2 linked regions of the Diceros bicornis minor genome follow. The protein of the gene in region 1 interacts with the protein of each later gene in a biochemical or structural test. Links are inferred from orthologs where the notes say so. Each region holds a gene or a part of one and is shown on either strand. Other genes may lie near its edges.

Evidence for each region.
Region 2: the proteins of MAP1LC3A (region 1) and ATG7 form a complex in vitro, tested with the Homo sapiens proteins (2 studies listed by BioGRID, with this or other methods). The link is inferred for Diceros bicornis minor from reciprocal best matches to the Homo sapiens genes MAP1LC3A and ATG7.

Annotation. Positions count from the first base shown.
Region 1 is NC_080758.1:25,021,748-25,027,860, forward strand, and holds MAP1LC3A (microtubule-associated proteins 1A/1B light chain 3A), read right to left. Parts: upstream 2,115-6,113; 5' UTR 1,933-2,114; coding exon 1,893-1,932; intron 1,614-1,892; coding exon 1,558-1,613; intron 1,478-1,557; coding exon 1,371-1,477; intron 1,115-1,370; coding exon 952-1,114; 3' UTR 945-951; exon of another isoform or gene 684-944; 3' UTR 516-683; downstream 1-515. UniProt on the Homo sapiens protein: Ubiquitin-like modifier involved in formation of autophagosomal vacuoles (autophagosomes). While LC3s are involved in elongation of the phagophore membrane, the GABARAP/GATE-16 subfamily is essential for a later stage in autophagosome maturation.
Region 2 is NC_080741.1:83,968,446-83,975,465, reverse strand, and holds the start of ATG7 (ubiquitin-like modifier-activating enzyme ATG7), read right to left. Parts: upstream 3,079-7,020; 5' UTR 3,057-3,078; intron 3,013-3,056; exon of another isoform or gene 967-3,012; intron 1-966. UniProt on the Homo sapiens protein: E1-like activating enzyme involved in the 2 ubiquitin-like systems required for cytoplasm to vacuole transport (Cvt) and autophagy.

The sequences.
Region 1 (6,113 bases):
TGGCTGGGCCAGGCCTGCACGGATTTCAGGGGGTGAAAAGGCCAGAAGCTGGGCCAAGCCCTCTAGCCAGAGTTGCCATCAGGCGAGTCCTCGGGCAGATGAGGTTCGAGTCCAGGGTCACGAATCTCCGGCACCAGAGGGGAGCCAAGGGTGGCATCAAGGCCTGTGGAGAGTAGCCAGGAGCACCTCCACTTGGACCCCCACTTTGTGACTCTGCACACCAAGGAGCCCCTCACAGGCAGGAAAAGGGAAGAAGAAGGTGAGCAGGGTTTGTTAAGTTGTGGCTACTTAATAAATGTTTTTTGTTATGAAAAAGTCTACTCTGGGACCACACTGTACCGTGGAAGGGCTGGGCTTGGCTCCTAATACAGCTATGGTACACTACACACTGGTGTGGGTTTCCAGGATGAGCCCTAAGTCCGCAGAACACAGGTCTCTGCACTGGCGAGCTGAGAATGGTGTGGAACAGCCCCATCAGCAGCCCTCCCCCTTCCCCAAGCAGCTGGAGGCAAAGGGCCAGGCAGGCCTGAGCAATCTTTATTCTGCAGAGGGACAATGACCACAGATCCATACACCATGTCAAGACTGGGTGAGCCAGGGGCCAGTCCTTCAAGGGTGGGCGGGTCCAGGCAGGGGGCAGCGCCTCAGGCAGGGGAGGGACAGATGGGCAGACAGGCAGGGGCCTAAAAAAAAAACAAATCACACAGTAGGGGTGCCGGGGGTTGCTCCCCACCCTCCCCCATCCCAGCCAGCACCCAGAGGGGCAACCCTAACATGACTGGCCCAGGATCCACCCAGGGGCAGAGTAGGCATGGTTGGTGCTCCTGGCTAGGAGGCGCATCCCTGCCCAGCCCACCAGGGGCAGAGGCAGCTCACTTCAGGAGCCAGGAGCTACCTGGGCAGAGCCTGACAGGGCCCCCTACTCCCAGGCCAACCCCCCCTACTGCGAGTTCAGAAGCCGAAGGTTTCCTGGGAGGCGTAGACCATGTAGAGGAAGCCGTCATCATCCTTCTCCTGCTCATAGATGTCGGCGATGGGTGTGGACACGCTCACCATGCTGTGCTGGTTCACCAGCAGGAAGAAGGCCTGCGTGGGGTTCAGCTGCAGGCGGCGCCTGAGGTGGGCAGGAGGGCATGCCGACTGTGAGCACCCTGGCTGCTGGGCGGGTGTAGCCCTGACCCCCCCTCCCCAAAATGATTCCGAGTCTCTGCTTCACACCCATCCCAGCCCCTTCTAAAGGTTCTTATCTCTGACACTGACAGTGACCCCAGCCTTGACCTTGACCTTTCCCAACCTTCTCAGAAGGACCCAGCCCCCCGCCTGACCCCAGCAGGACCCAAGTCCCCCTCTGACAGCTGCTGCCCGCGCACCGGATGATCTTGACCAACTCGCTCATGTTGACATGGTCCGGGACCAGGAACTTGGTCTTGTCCAGGACAGGCAGCTGCTTCTCACCCTTGTAGCGCTCGATGATCACCTGGGAGCAGGGTGGGGCGGGACGCGTGAGCCTGAGGCGGGGCGCGGGGCCTGGGGATGGGAGGGGGCGGCGGGACTCACCGGGATCTTGCTGGGGTGCTGGTCGCGGATCTGCTGCACCTCCTTACAGCGGTCGGCTGCAGACAGCGGTTGGGCGGTGAGGCCCCGCCCCGCCTCTCCACAGCCCCCGCCTCCCCACAGCCCCCGCCCCCCGGGCCGTCGGCCCCCCAGCCCCAGCACAGGACGGGGTTGGGAGGCGGAGGCCCCGGCCCAGGCCCGAGCCTGCGTCCCAGCCCAGGGGGCGGCCGGAGCCTGACGTCACGGGGCTGACGTCACCTACGGCAGTCGGGTCGGTCGCACCCCCCCCTCCCCCAGCGCCCCCACCCCTCGCTCGCAGATCGCCCGCCGGGCCTCACCGAAGCTCCGCCGTTGCTTGAAAGGCCGGTCCGAGGGCATCGCGCGGGCCCGGCGGGGCGCGCAGGCCGAGGCTCCGGGGTGCGCGGCGCGGGGATGTGGCTGCGGTTCGGGGGCTCCGCGAGCTCCGCGCCTCGCACTCAAGGGCTCCGGGCTCGCGCTGAGCCCGGCGGTGGCGGCTCGGGGAGGTAACTCGCCCGGGTGACGTCAGGTCACAACATTCCTTAAAGGGGAGGCCGGCGCGCCGCTCCCATTGGGCCGACGCAAAACCCGCCCGCCCGGACCGTGATGTCACGGCGCAGAGAGCCTGGATTCCCGACCCCGCGCCGCGAAGGGGCGGGGCCTTGCGGGCGTCACAATCTCGTGACGTCATGGCCTGCGCGTATTCTCCGTCCCCAGGTCGGGGCTGAGCGGAGGCTGCAAAGCCGGCGAGCTGTTGTGGGAACTCACTCGCAGCTCTGGCGGTGGGGTGAGTGCGGGCCGGGTTGCGGCTCAGCGTCCTTCTGTTGCCGCTGTCAGTAAATTCACCTGACAACGCACACTCGGAGTCTGTTCTAGGGACGGTAGGAGGCGCTGGGGATGACAGCGGTAAACCAAAAGACCTCCTCGCCTTCGTGGAGCTTATGGTTAGAAAAGGAAAAAGGTGCGGGTGGGAGGGGTTAAAACATGAAAGAGCAAGGCACTAAAAAGGAACACAGGTTTTAAAAAGAAATTTCCAGAATTGAAAACTAGAGCTATTGAAATTAAAGTCTCAAAGGATGAGGTAAGAAAGCAGATTAGACCCAGCAGAAGAGAAAATCACTGAGCTGGAGGATAGATCAGAAGCAATTAACCAGAGTAACAAGGTGATGAAACGTATAAAAGAGGGAGTGACAAGAATGGTAAAGTGAAAAGAACTCACAGGTCCAGTCAGAGTTCCAGAAGGAGAGAAAAGACAGACTGTGGGAGAGGCTGTTCCTGAAGAAGAGCTTCCAAATTGATTAAAGACCAGGATCTTCACATAAAATCCAGAGCAGGATAAATAAAAATAAAATCAGCATCTAGGCACTTTGTAGTGAAGTTACAGAACTCCAAAGAGAAGAAATTAGATGCAAAAATGGTGAGCAACTAAACTGATCAGTGGGTAAGGAGATCTAAACAAGCACTTCATTGAAACATGGCTAGTGATGAAGATTTGTGGAGTACAAAACCAGGAGCAGGGAACCAGTAACATGTAAGACTGGAGAGGGTAATCAGCCTTCCAGTGTGCTAAGCAGCTTGATTTATTTGAGAGGAGGATAAAGATATTGATAATTGTCCGGCTTTCTAAAGTCAAGTATGTATTTCAAATGCTTAAGAGAGATCACTAAAATATTAGAAATAGAAAGTAGAACTGCCAGTGTAAAAAAGAAAAGGTTAGTAAAGGGTATTAGAATAGAAGGCAGGAAAGGAGAAAAAGGAGGCAAAGTAACAAGTATATAAATGGTACAAAACCAGAGGGACAAAATGCCCTTCACGTTCACCTATTAAAACAGATGATCAGATTGACCAAGAAAAATAAAATGCAGCTCCCTGCTGCTTACAAGAGGACATTTAAAGCCAAAGGGCAGGGGCTGGTCCCGTGGCGCAAGCAGTTAAGTGTGCGCGCTCTGCTGCGGCGGCCTGGAGTTCGTCGGTTTGGATCCCAGGCACTGCTTGGCAGGCCATGCTGTGGCGGCGTCCCATATAAAGTGGAGGAAGATGGGTGCAGATGTTAGCCCAGGGCCAGTCTTCCTCAGCAAAAAAAAAAAGAGGACTGGCAGATGTTAGCACAGGGCTGATCTCCTCACAAGAAAAAATAAATAAAACCAAAAGGCACCAAAAGTAAAAAGATGGAAAAAGGTATTCTAAAGAAAAACTAACCAAAAGATATATCTATAGCAAAATCAGACAAAATAGGCTTTAAGGTAAAAGACACTATTAGGGATAAAGGAAGCTGTAACTTCTATGTTAGAGGTTAAAAAAAAGGCTGAAAATGTATAAAGTAAAAGTGACAAGGATACAAGGAGCAATGGCCAAATCATTCATCATAGTGGATATTTAAGACCTCTTTCAGTAACTGATAGACCAAACAGCCAAAAAAGGATATAGACAATTTTAATCCTATGAATAATCCTGATCACTGGGCCCTGATAGAGCCCTGAACCCAATACCCTTACTTTCAAGTACACAAGAAACATTTACAAAATGACCTACTAGACCCCAAGTCCAGTCTCAACAGGTATCGAATAGTGAGTTTCATACAGACCATATTCTCTGACCACAGACAAGAGCCAAGTAAATTCCAAATGTTTGGACATTTAAACATACTTCTAAAAAACTTTTTACTCAAAGATGAAATCATATGGAAATGAAAACTACTTAGATCAAACCAAAAATGAGAATACACATAAAAATTCAGGGAGGGGGCAACTAAAGCAGCATTTAGAAGATTTATAGCCTTATTAGTTATACTAGGTAAGAAGAAACATGGAAAATTTGAGTTTCAAAAGAATTTTAAAAAGGAATAACTGTAAACCCACAGAAAGTGAAAGGAAGAGAATAATGAATGGCAGAAATTGATGTCATAGAAAACAAAAACACTAGTATGGACCACAAACAAAGTTGGATCTTTGAAAAGACCAATAAAATAAACATTAATGTGCAAAAGGGACATAACTACAGATATAGAAATGACAAAAATAAGAATGTTATAAACTTTATGCCAGTTAACTTAATACTGAGATGAAATGGACAATTTTCTAGAAAAAGACAATTTGCCAAGACTAATTCAAAAAGAAAAAGACAAACTGAGTAGCCATGTGCCTCAAAAAACCAACTAGTCCAGATGGTTTTCTAGGTGAGTTCTCCGAAAATAAACCCAAACCTGCAGCAAACGTTATACTTAGTGATTAAACGCCATACTATATGGTAAAATGTTAAGCATGATTCCCTTTAAAGCCAGGAACAAAATTTTGAATTTTATCATTGAACAAAATGCAACATTGTTTGGAGGTTCCAGCCAGAGCACCAAGACAAGGGAAAAAAAAGGAGCAAAACTACCCTTCACAGCTGGAAAACCCAAAGGAATCTACAAACAATAAAAGATCGCTAACTAATAACATCTGACAACACGTGATACCAAGTTTTAGAGTAATATGGGAAAAGGGGAACTCTTTCCACTGCGAATGGGAGTGTAAATCATTTCAGCCACATTGGAAAGCAATTTTGCAAAATCTACCCAAACTGAAGATGCCCATGTCCTACAAACCAGGAGTTCCGCTTTCAGGTGTGCACATGAGCCCAAGGAAACACAGTTAAGTATGTTCACTGGAGCATTTTCAAAATAGCAAAAAACTGGGACCCACCTAAATGTCCTATTAAATATCTTGTGTATTCCTGTAACAGAACAACACACTGTTATAGTGAAAGAGAGAGAGGAGGGGTCAGCAAACTTTCCCTTTGAAAGGCCAGATACTAAATATTTTCTACTTTGTAGGCCATATAGTCTCTGGCAAGTACTCAGTTCTGTTGTAGTGCGGAAGCAGCCTTAGACAATGTGGATGGGCATGGCTATGTCCCAATAAAACTTTATTTGCTAAAACAAACAGATTTGGCGTGAGGGCCTTAAGTTTGCTGACTCTTGATCTAGAGCTGTGTGTGTGTCAAAATGGACAAATCTCACAAACACGAAGTTGCAGGAGATTGAATGTGATCAGAGCCATTAAGAGCAGCTGTAAGAACTAAGTCAGGGCCGGCCCTGTGGCTTGGCGGTTAAGTGCACGCCGTCTGCTGCTGGTGGCCTGGGTTCGGATCCCAGGCGCACACCGACGCACTGCTTCTCCAGCCATGCTGAGGCCACGTCTCACATACAGCAACTAGAAGGATGTGCAACTATGACATACAACTATCTACTGGGGCTTTGGGGAAAAAAAAAAAGAAAGGAGGAGGATTGGCAATAGATATTAGCTCAGAGCTGGTCTTCCTCAGCAAAAAGAGGAAGATTAACAAGGATGTTAGCTCAGGGCTGATGTTCCTCACACACACACAAAAAAGAACTAGGTCAGCCATGGCCTTGGGGAAGTGGTTACACCTCTCTTTTGTCAGACTAAGTCCTGGGCTAAGGTTACAGTGGGGGAGGGGCCCATCCCCCAAATCCCAAGGTCTGTGCTCACTCTTTCTCTTACCTGATCAGTCAGCAGGGCTGACACTCCCTCCTCTAGTCC
Region 2 (7,020 bases), on another chromosome or scaffold:
ATGCTCCCTTGAGCACACAATTGGGCTTTACCTACACTGGAGAAAGGTGGGGGGATCAGGAGACAGAAAGAGGAGAGGAGGAAGCCATTAGTGAACTTGGGTAAATTGGACTTCCAAATAAAATCTCACAGGTGGTCAGGCATAACCAACCAGGGACCACTAAGCGAAGAACTTGGTTATTACTTATTTCCACAGAGGATTCATCCCCTCCCCCCGCCTCAATATCCTGATTCCTGGCTCCCTCCTCTCCTTGCCATCCAATCAGTTACCAGTCCAGTAAATCCTTCTTCCTTTATCTCTCAACTCCACCCACCCCTCCCCATCCCCACAGCCACTGCCTTGGTTCAGGCCTCTCTCCCATGTGACCTGGACCACTGCAACAGCGCCCTGACTGGTCTCCCTGCTGGTCCTGCCCTATTCAGTGTAATCACCACATTGCTGCCTGGGTAATTTAAAACAGATGAGAGGATGTCACACCCCTGTTCAAAATTCTTCAGTGCCCCACTCTCCAGCCCTGTGCTTTCAAAATAAACTCCAAATTTCTTAGCATGGCAATACTAACTGCTACAGTTTAGAGTTTACCATCTACCAGTGCCAAGTGGGTAAGAGATATCATCTCATTCAATTCTCACAGCAACCTTGGGAGGTAGGCTATATTTCCCTTTTACAGATGAGTAAATAGAAGCTTAGAAAGGAAGCGACTTGCCCAAGGTCACAAAACTAGTTCAGCAGCAAAACCAGTGTTGATACACAGGTATCTTAGATTCCAAAGTCTGTGTTCTTAACATGCAACTGCCCACAAGGCCCTTCGTGATCTGGCTCCTGCTTACCTTTCCAGCCACCCTTATCCTACACTCCACTCTAACTCGGGGCAACTACCTGCAGGTCACGCATTCTCACCCACAGCCATTTGCTTGCACCCCTCCCAATGTCTGCAAAATCATCCCACCTCCCATCCCTCTTCACCTGATTAATCCTGCTCATCCTTTAGGACTTGGATAAAGCAACATCTCCTCACAGAAGCCTTCTCTGATGCCTCAGCCTGACTTAGCCTGAGCATGCTAAGTCCTTCTCCAGCAAACTTCAACAACAGCTTCATACCATAGTGCTGTTGTCTACCTCCTTGACTTAAAAAAAAGTAAACTCCTTGAGGACATGGATGTGTATCTTACTCACTTTCATGTTTCCACTTGCAGAGCAGTGCCAGGCACAGAGCAAAAGCTCAATAAATATTTATGCTTATTCTCTATTACGAGAAGCTGGCTGGGAAGAAAAAAGGGACCTTGTGGTTGAATGCAAGCCCAGTTCTCAGCTCTTTAAAGGGTTTCTAAACCATGTCACATGAGGGGCAGGGAGGAGCTGGCCAAGAAAAGAGGGGGAAGGGAGATGTTCTAGGCAGCAGAAACAAAGGACTGTAGGTGAGACACAGCCTGTAGGCAGTTTAACAAGACTAGAGCACAGAGGTGGGGGATGGGGGAACAATTAGGCAAGATGAGCCTTCACAAGTATGGCTTTTTCTTCATTCCGGTGTTAGATCAAACGTCACCTCCTCAGAGAAGTCATCCCTGATCAGCTAGCTTTAAAAAGAGCTCCCTCTGCTTCCCCTCAGTTACTCTCCACGCTGTTACCATTTCTTTTTTTCGTAGCATCCATCAGGATCTGAAACACCTGCCAACCATTAAAAGTATCGTATTTATTGACAATCACAACAGTCGCCACCACTACCATCAAAAGTAGGGTCCATGAAACAGGGCTGTTTTTTTGCCTTATTTTACCACTACATCACTGGTGCTTACAATAATGCCCGGCACATAACAGGCACTCAAATATTTGCTTTATTCACTCATTCAGCAAATATTTACTGAGCATATATAATATGTCAGGCACTGTTCTATACGCCAGGGATACAACTACAAATAAAACAAGTCAAAATTCTCAGTTATGTGGAGTTTACTGTGGCTAAATAAATTAAATATGCTTAGCCTGGAAAAGAAAAGGTGGGAAGAGGAAGACAAACTAGCAGCTTTCAAAGATGTGCGGGGCAATTCCGTGAAGGGAGAGCCCAAGAGCCTGAAAGAGGGACAACCAGCTGAGATCACTAGGGAACCGCTTTCAGCTCTGCATACGACTTGTTATGAGTCAGAGCTGGGGGCAGACCAAACAGGAGTAAGGCCAAAAGTAGTGAGCTTTCTGTCACTGAAGAAATTTAACCAGCGAGCGGGGGTGCCACAAAAGAAATCCAAGTATTCAGTGGGAAAGGGAGCCTGGGATCCAGAGGCCCCAAACTGGCAGCCACAGATACGCCTGGTTACAGGCGCAATTTAAAAAAATGTTTTCTATCACTTGCCAATGCTTTTTAAAAAATCATTAGTCATTAGTGTTTAAAAATCAAGGGATTGCACGTGCCCGCACGCACACACACACACTGAAGTTCTGGGTTCATTTCTTCAATATGTTAGTATTGCGCTCATAAAACTCAATTCAGTAAAAATAAGTTTGACTGACATAAAATTTTCTTACACCCACATTTACCTAACCTGACTGATCAAGCATTCAAGTCTGTAGCATCCGGACCAAACCAAGAAATCGAGCACCTTGGATCAGAAAAGCCCTTCGAGCTGCCTTAACTGAACCTCCTCGCCTCACCAATGACGTGTTATCACTCCCACATCACAGATGAGGGAAGAGAGGCTCAGCAAGGGGAGGGATGCGCCACAGCCACACAGCAGACCGTGGCAGGCAAAGCCAGGACCAGAACCCAGGCGTCTGTCTCCAGGGCTCCAACAACGGAGATTCGGGGCACTCCCCGCCAGAGACAGGACAGCAGCGTCCTGTCCGAGCACCCCGGCTGAACCAGTCTGAGGGAACGTGACTGGACGAGGGCGAGAGCCGCAGTCAGCGACTCCCTGGAGACAGACAGCCCAGGCACGGGCAGAGGAGGATCCTGAGACCCGCCGCGACCCTCGCCCTCATCGCCGAGCTCGCCTTTTCCCGCCAGGCCTCCAAAAGCCACACCGAAGCAGCCCGCGCCTCCCTCACCGCTGCGGCTCACTTACCGCCGCTCAACTTCCGGCAACCACACAGTCATCCGCAGCGCGCGCCCCGATGACGCAACGCGGCCCCGCCCCCGCCTGCCGGGGCGAGAGGACGGTGCGCGTGCGCACACAGAGCCTCGGGCCAGCCTGGTAAAGGAGCCCCTAGCACCAGGCTGAGGGGGCGGAACTTGAGGCGTGGGGAAGGCGGGACATCAGGAGGTGGGCGAGGACCCCCTGGAGCGAGCCGAGGCACAGAGACTTTCTCCCGTTTATCAGATGTGGGATTGTGTATATGTGCCCGTGAGACTTTTCAAAAAGTGCTCCACGTTCTTTCTTTTGATTTTAGAGGATGACAGGAATTATCATTATTTCCATTTTCCAGGAGAGGCAGTATCAAACGAATCACGGGGACCACGAGGAAGGCAGGTATGGAGACACAGGAGATGAGAATTTTAATAGGTAAAGGTCGATGAAAGTCGACACTGACCGACTTGCTCTTTGTAAACCAGACATTATTCTCATAGCTTCCTGCTGTCAATGAGATAAAGTTATTCATTCTAAATTATTTATTGAGCATATACTCTGTACCAGGCATTGGAGAAGTGTTGATACAATAGTGAGTGTAAACTTAATCTGACATATAAGGCCATTCACAAAGCGCCTCTGACGTAGCTCTATAGACTTACAATAACAAGAGTAATGACTACTATTTATTATCTACAATGTTTTCAGGTTTTCACATCTGTAATCGCCACAAAGGGCCTGCAAGGTAGATGTTATATTATTCCCATTTTACATATGAAAGAGCGGAGACTAGGAAAGGTTAAGGCGCTTGCTGAAGGTTAAAGAGCTTTTGGGCCAGGAGTCTAACAGAAGCCTGTTTGACTTACTGAGGAGATACTTTATTCGAAAGGATTGTTATAAGCAGTGGGGAAGGAGAGGGCGGGGACTATTGCAATGGGTGGGGGAGGGAATCTTGCAATAGGGAGACTCTGACCAAAAGATCTGCAAGTGTCTCCAGGGTTAGGCAAAAAGAGTTTTTCTTCCGTAGGGAAGAGTGAAGGCAAGAAAGAACTCCGGTGGGAAAGTGAGAAGAAAGCGTGGCTTGATTGGACAGTAGTAAATCATAGGATGTTTTACTTTGAGGCCAGCCTGTTCTCAGGAGGGGTGGTATGCCGGCTCCATCTCTGCTACCCTCACCCTTCCTCTGCTTGTGTAACCCTTTCCCCATCTTCAAAATCCAGTTGAAATGTTGATAGAAAAAAGAGTACATATTATATGATTCCACTTATGTAAAGTTCTAGAATCAGCAAAACTAACATAGTGATAGAAGTCAGATCAGTGGTTGCCTGAGGCATAAAGGGAGCATTGTCTGCAAAGGGACATGAGGAACTTTCTGGCGTGATGGAAACGTTCTATATCGTGATTGAGATGGGTATGACATTTGTACACATTTGTCAAAACTCATCAAACTCTATATTTAAAATGAGTGCATTTTACTGTATATATTTAATGTAATAAGTTTGATTTTTAAAAAACCCAGTAGAGGGGTCACCTCCTATGTGAAGGCATGCCTGACACCCACCTACCTCCAGGCTTCACTCTATTAAGGTTATATGAGGCTAGGTTGAAGTTAGTTCTTTTTAACCTTGTTTCCCCTGCTGGACTTCGAGATCCTTAATTTAATACCTTGTGGAGTTTCTGCCGAGCTCACTCTGCCGAGCTCACAAGGATTCCCCCTTCTCTGGGAACTGCTGGTTCTCCTACATGTGCCACCTGGCCTCCCACCTCTCTTCAGAGTTGACTGCAGCAGAAATGGACACAGGATGATTCTTTACCCTGAGCTTTGGACTTGAGAACTGATGCTCATAGAAAATAGGAACAGGAATAATTCATATTGGTCAATGGCAATATTCTATAGGGAACTTCCTCAAATTCTGACCGTTGAGGTTCCTGTGGCTGACTTGGCTCAAGCTCTTCCTGAGGTGAGGTCATCTAAAACGTTATTGGATTTCACAAAACACCCCAGCAGCCATTCACAAAGCTGGTTTCCATCACTTCCAACCCTGAAGTAGCTCCATAGGGTTGAAACCATGTCATCTTGTTCTCCATGGTCTCCTAGTGCCTGGCTCAAGAATTGGCCCAAGAAGTGTTCAAAAAGTATCTGTTAAATTAAGAGATGAGGTCTGGGCAGCCAAAATAGATGGTGACTCAGGTCACAAATGTGGCCTCCTTGTTAGCAGGAATTAGGGAGGCTTGGAGCAGAAGACCTGCCCCTGCTGCCCAGGATGGGGGATACAGACCCTTGGGGCACCAAGATGATGAAGCATCAAGAAAGATGCAAGACCAGGAGCCATAAAAAGGCAGAGAATGTTCTCAGATGCAGCAGGACAATGAGGCCCTTGACACTTATTCAAGACCACAATGATTCAGGTCAACCCACTTTTATCACTTGCCTTGCAGCTCAGTTGAGAGCACAGACTCCCTACAATGGGAACCATATGCCATGCCACCTACGCTTTGAAAGCCCAAGAAATCGTGGAATGACACGTTGGCAAATGAGATCTTAACAGCGTTGTTTCTTTACAGCACTTAGAGTGTGTTGCAGCCAGGAGAGCCCCAGCATCTTTTTCACCCTGTGTTAAGACTATTAAATCTACCTCCTGGAGGGCTCTTCTTCAAAAGAGAGATCAACAATTTTCTGCAAGCCAAGTAGCCAAATGATCACTTCATCAAATGGCCAACCTGCAGACTTGTAGATTTTCTGAATGAACACTTTGCAAATGTCACCAACTTCTAAGGTTTACAACAATTTCTATTGGATGGAATGGCTTCATGAGCTTCTAAAGATTTATGTGATGCAGTAGTTGACTGGTTTTCACGTCGTCTTCAGAGAAGCATTTGAAAGAATTTTCTATTTATCAAAAGCTAAGGATGGTTTATTCTTCCTTTGAATATATTTAACTTATGACTACATTAATGAAAAATATGTTCTTGAATGTAGATTTTTCTTAAGTGTATTAATATTATGCCACTCGGTCTATTATCTTTTTGTCTCTGACTCTCCACTTCTACTTTTCTATCTTCTTTCTCATTCCTCAGTTTCTCCCTATGTCTCCCTCTCAGTGTCTCCCTTTTTCTCTCACTAAATGTCTCCGTCTCTCTGGCTCTTAGTGTCCATCTGCCCCTTAGTATTTCCCCATCTCTGTCCTTGTGCACATCCATTTTGCCCTCTCCCTCTTCTGTCCTTTGGTGACCCCATCTCTTCCTCCTAGTCCATCATCTCTGACCCTCTGTCTCCCCCCACCTCCCCTAGTTTCCTCTTCTTTCTACCCCTTATCCTTCCTTCTCTCATCCTCAGTCTCTTCACCTCTATTTCTCCCCTGTCTACAACTCAGTCTCTCCCTGCAGTAGCAGCAAGCTGGGGACAAAGACAAATTGACCTTCTTCAATATGTGGCTATGAAGAAAAACGAAAATCAGTTGCTATAACTTCACAACAATTGTAGAAAACTGTTCTTAAAAGCCTCATCCAATATGTGTCATTGTAAACCCTGTAAATAGTTAAAAAGATGCCAACATTTGATAAATTTGGCAAATTGGTCATTCGAGGAATTGGCTTTAAGCTAATTAACTTTAAGCCCATAAAAAGAAACTCGAAGGAGCTTCTGAGTCTGCAAGTTCTTATCTACAATCAAGGTTTCTATGACAGCCTTCTCCTAGAAGGTATTTATTTTAATATTTCGGGCAGAGAGCCTGGTTTCAGCTAGATTTTGTGCAAGCCACTGGCCACTGATTCTTTCCTGAATGGGCTGAGGCTGAGTTATTTCCGGACCATGGTCTATTGCCTTTTATAAATTCAAGAATTAATTCAATCAATCATATAGGAGTAGGAAGAGCAGGTAGATACTGTGGAAAAGAAATGTATTCCAGAATCAGATTTTGGAGCCGGTCCTTAACCTCTCTGTGCTTCCATTTGCCTGTTT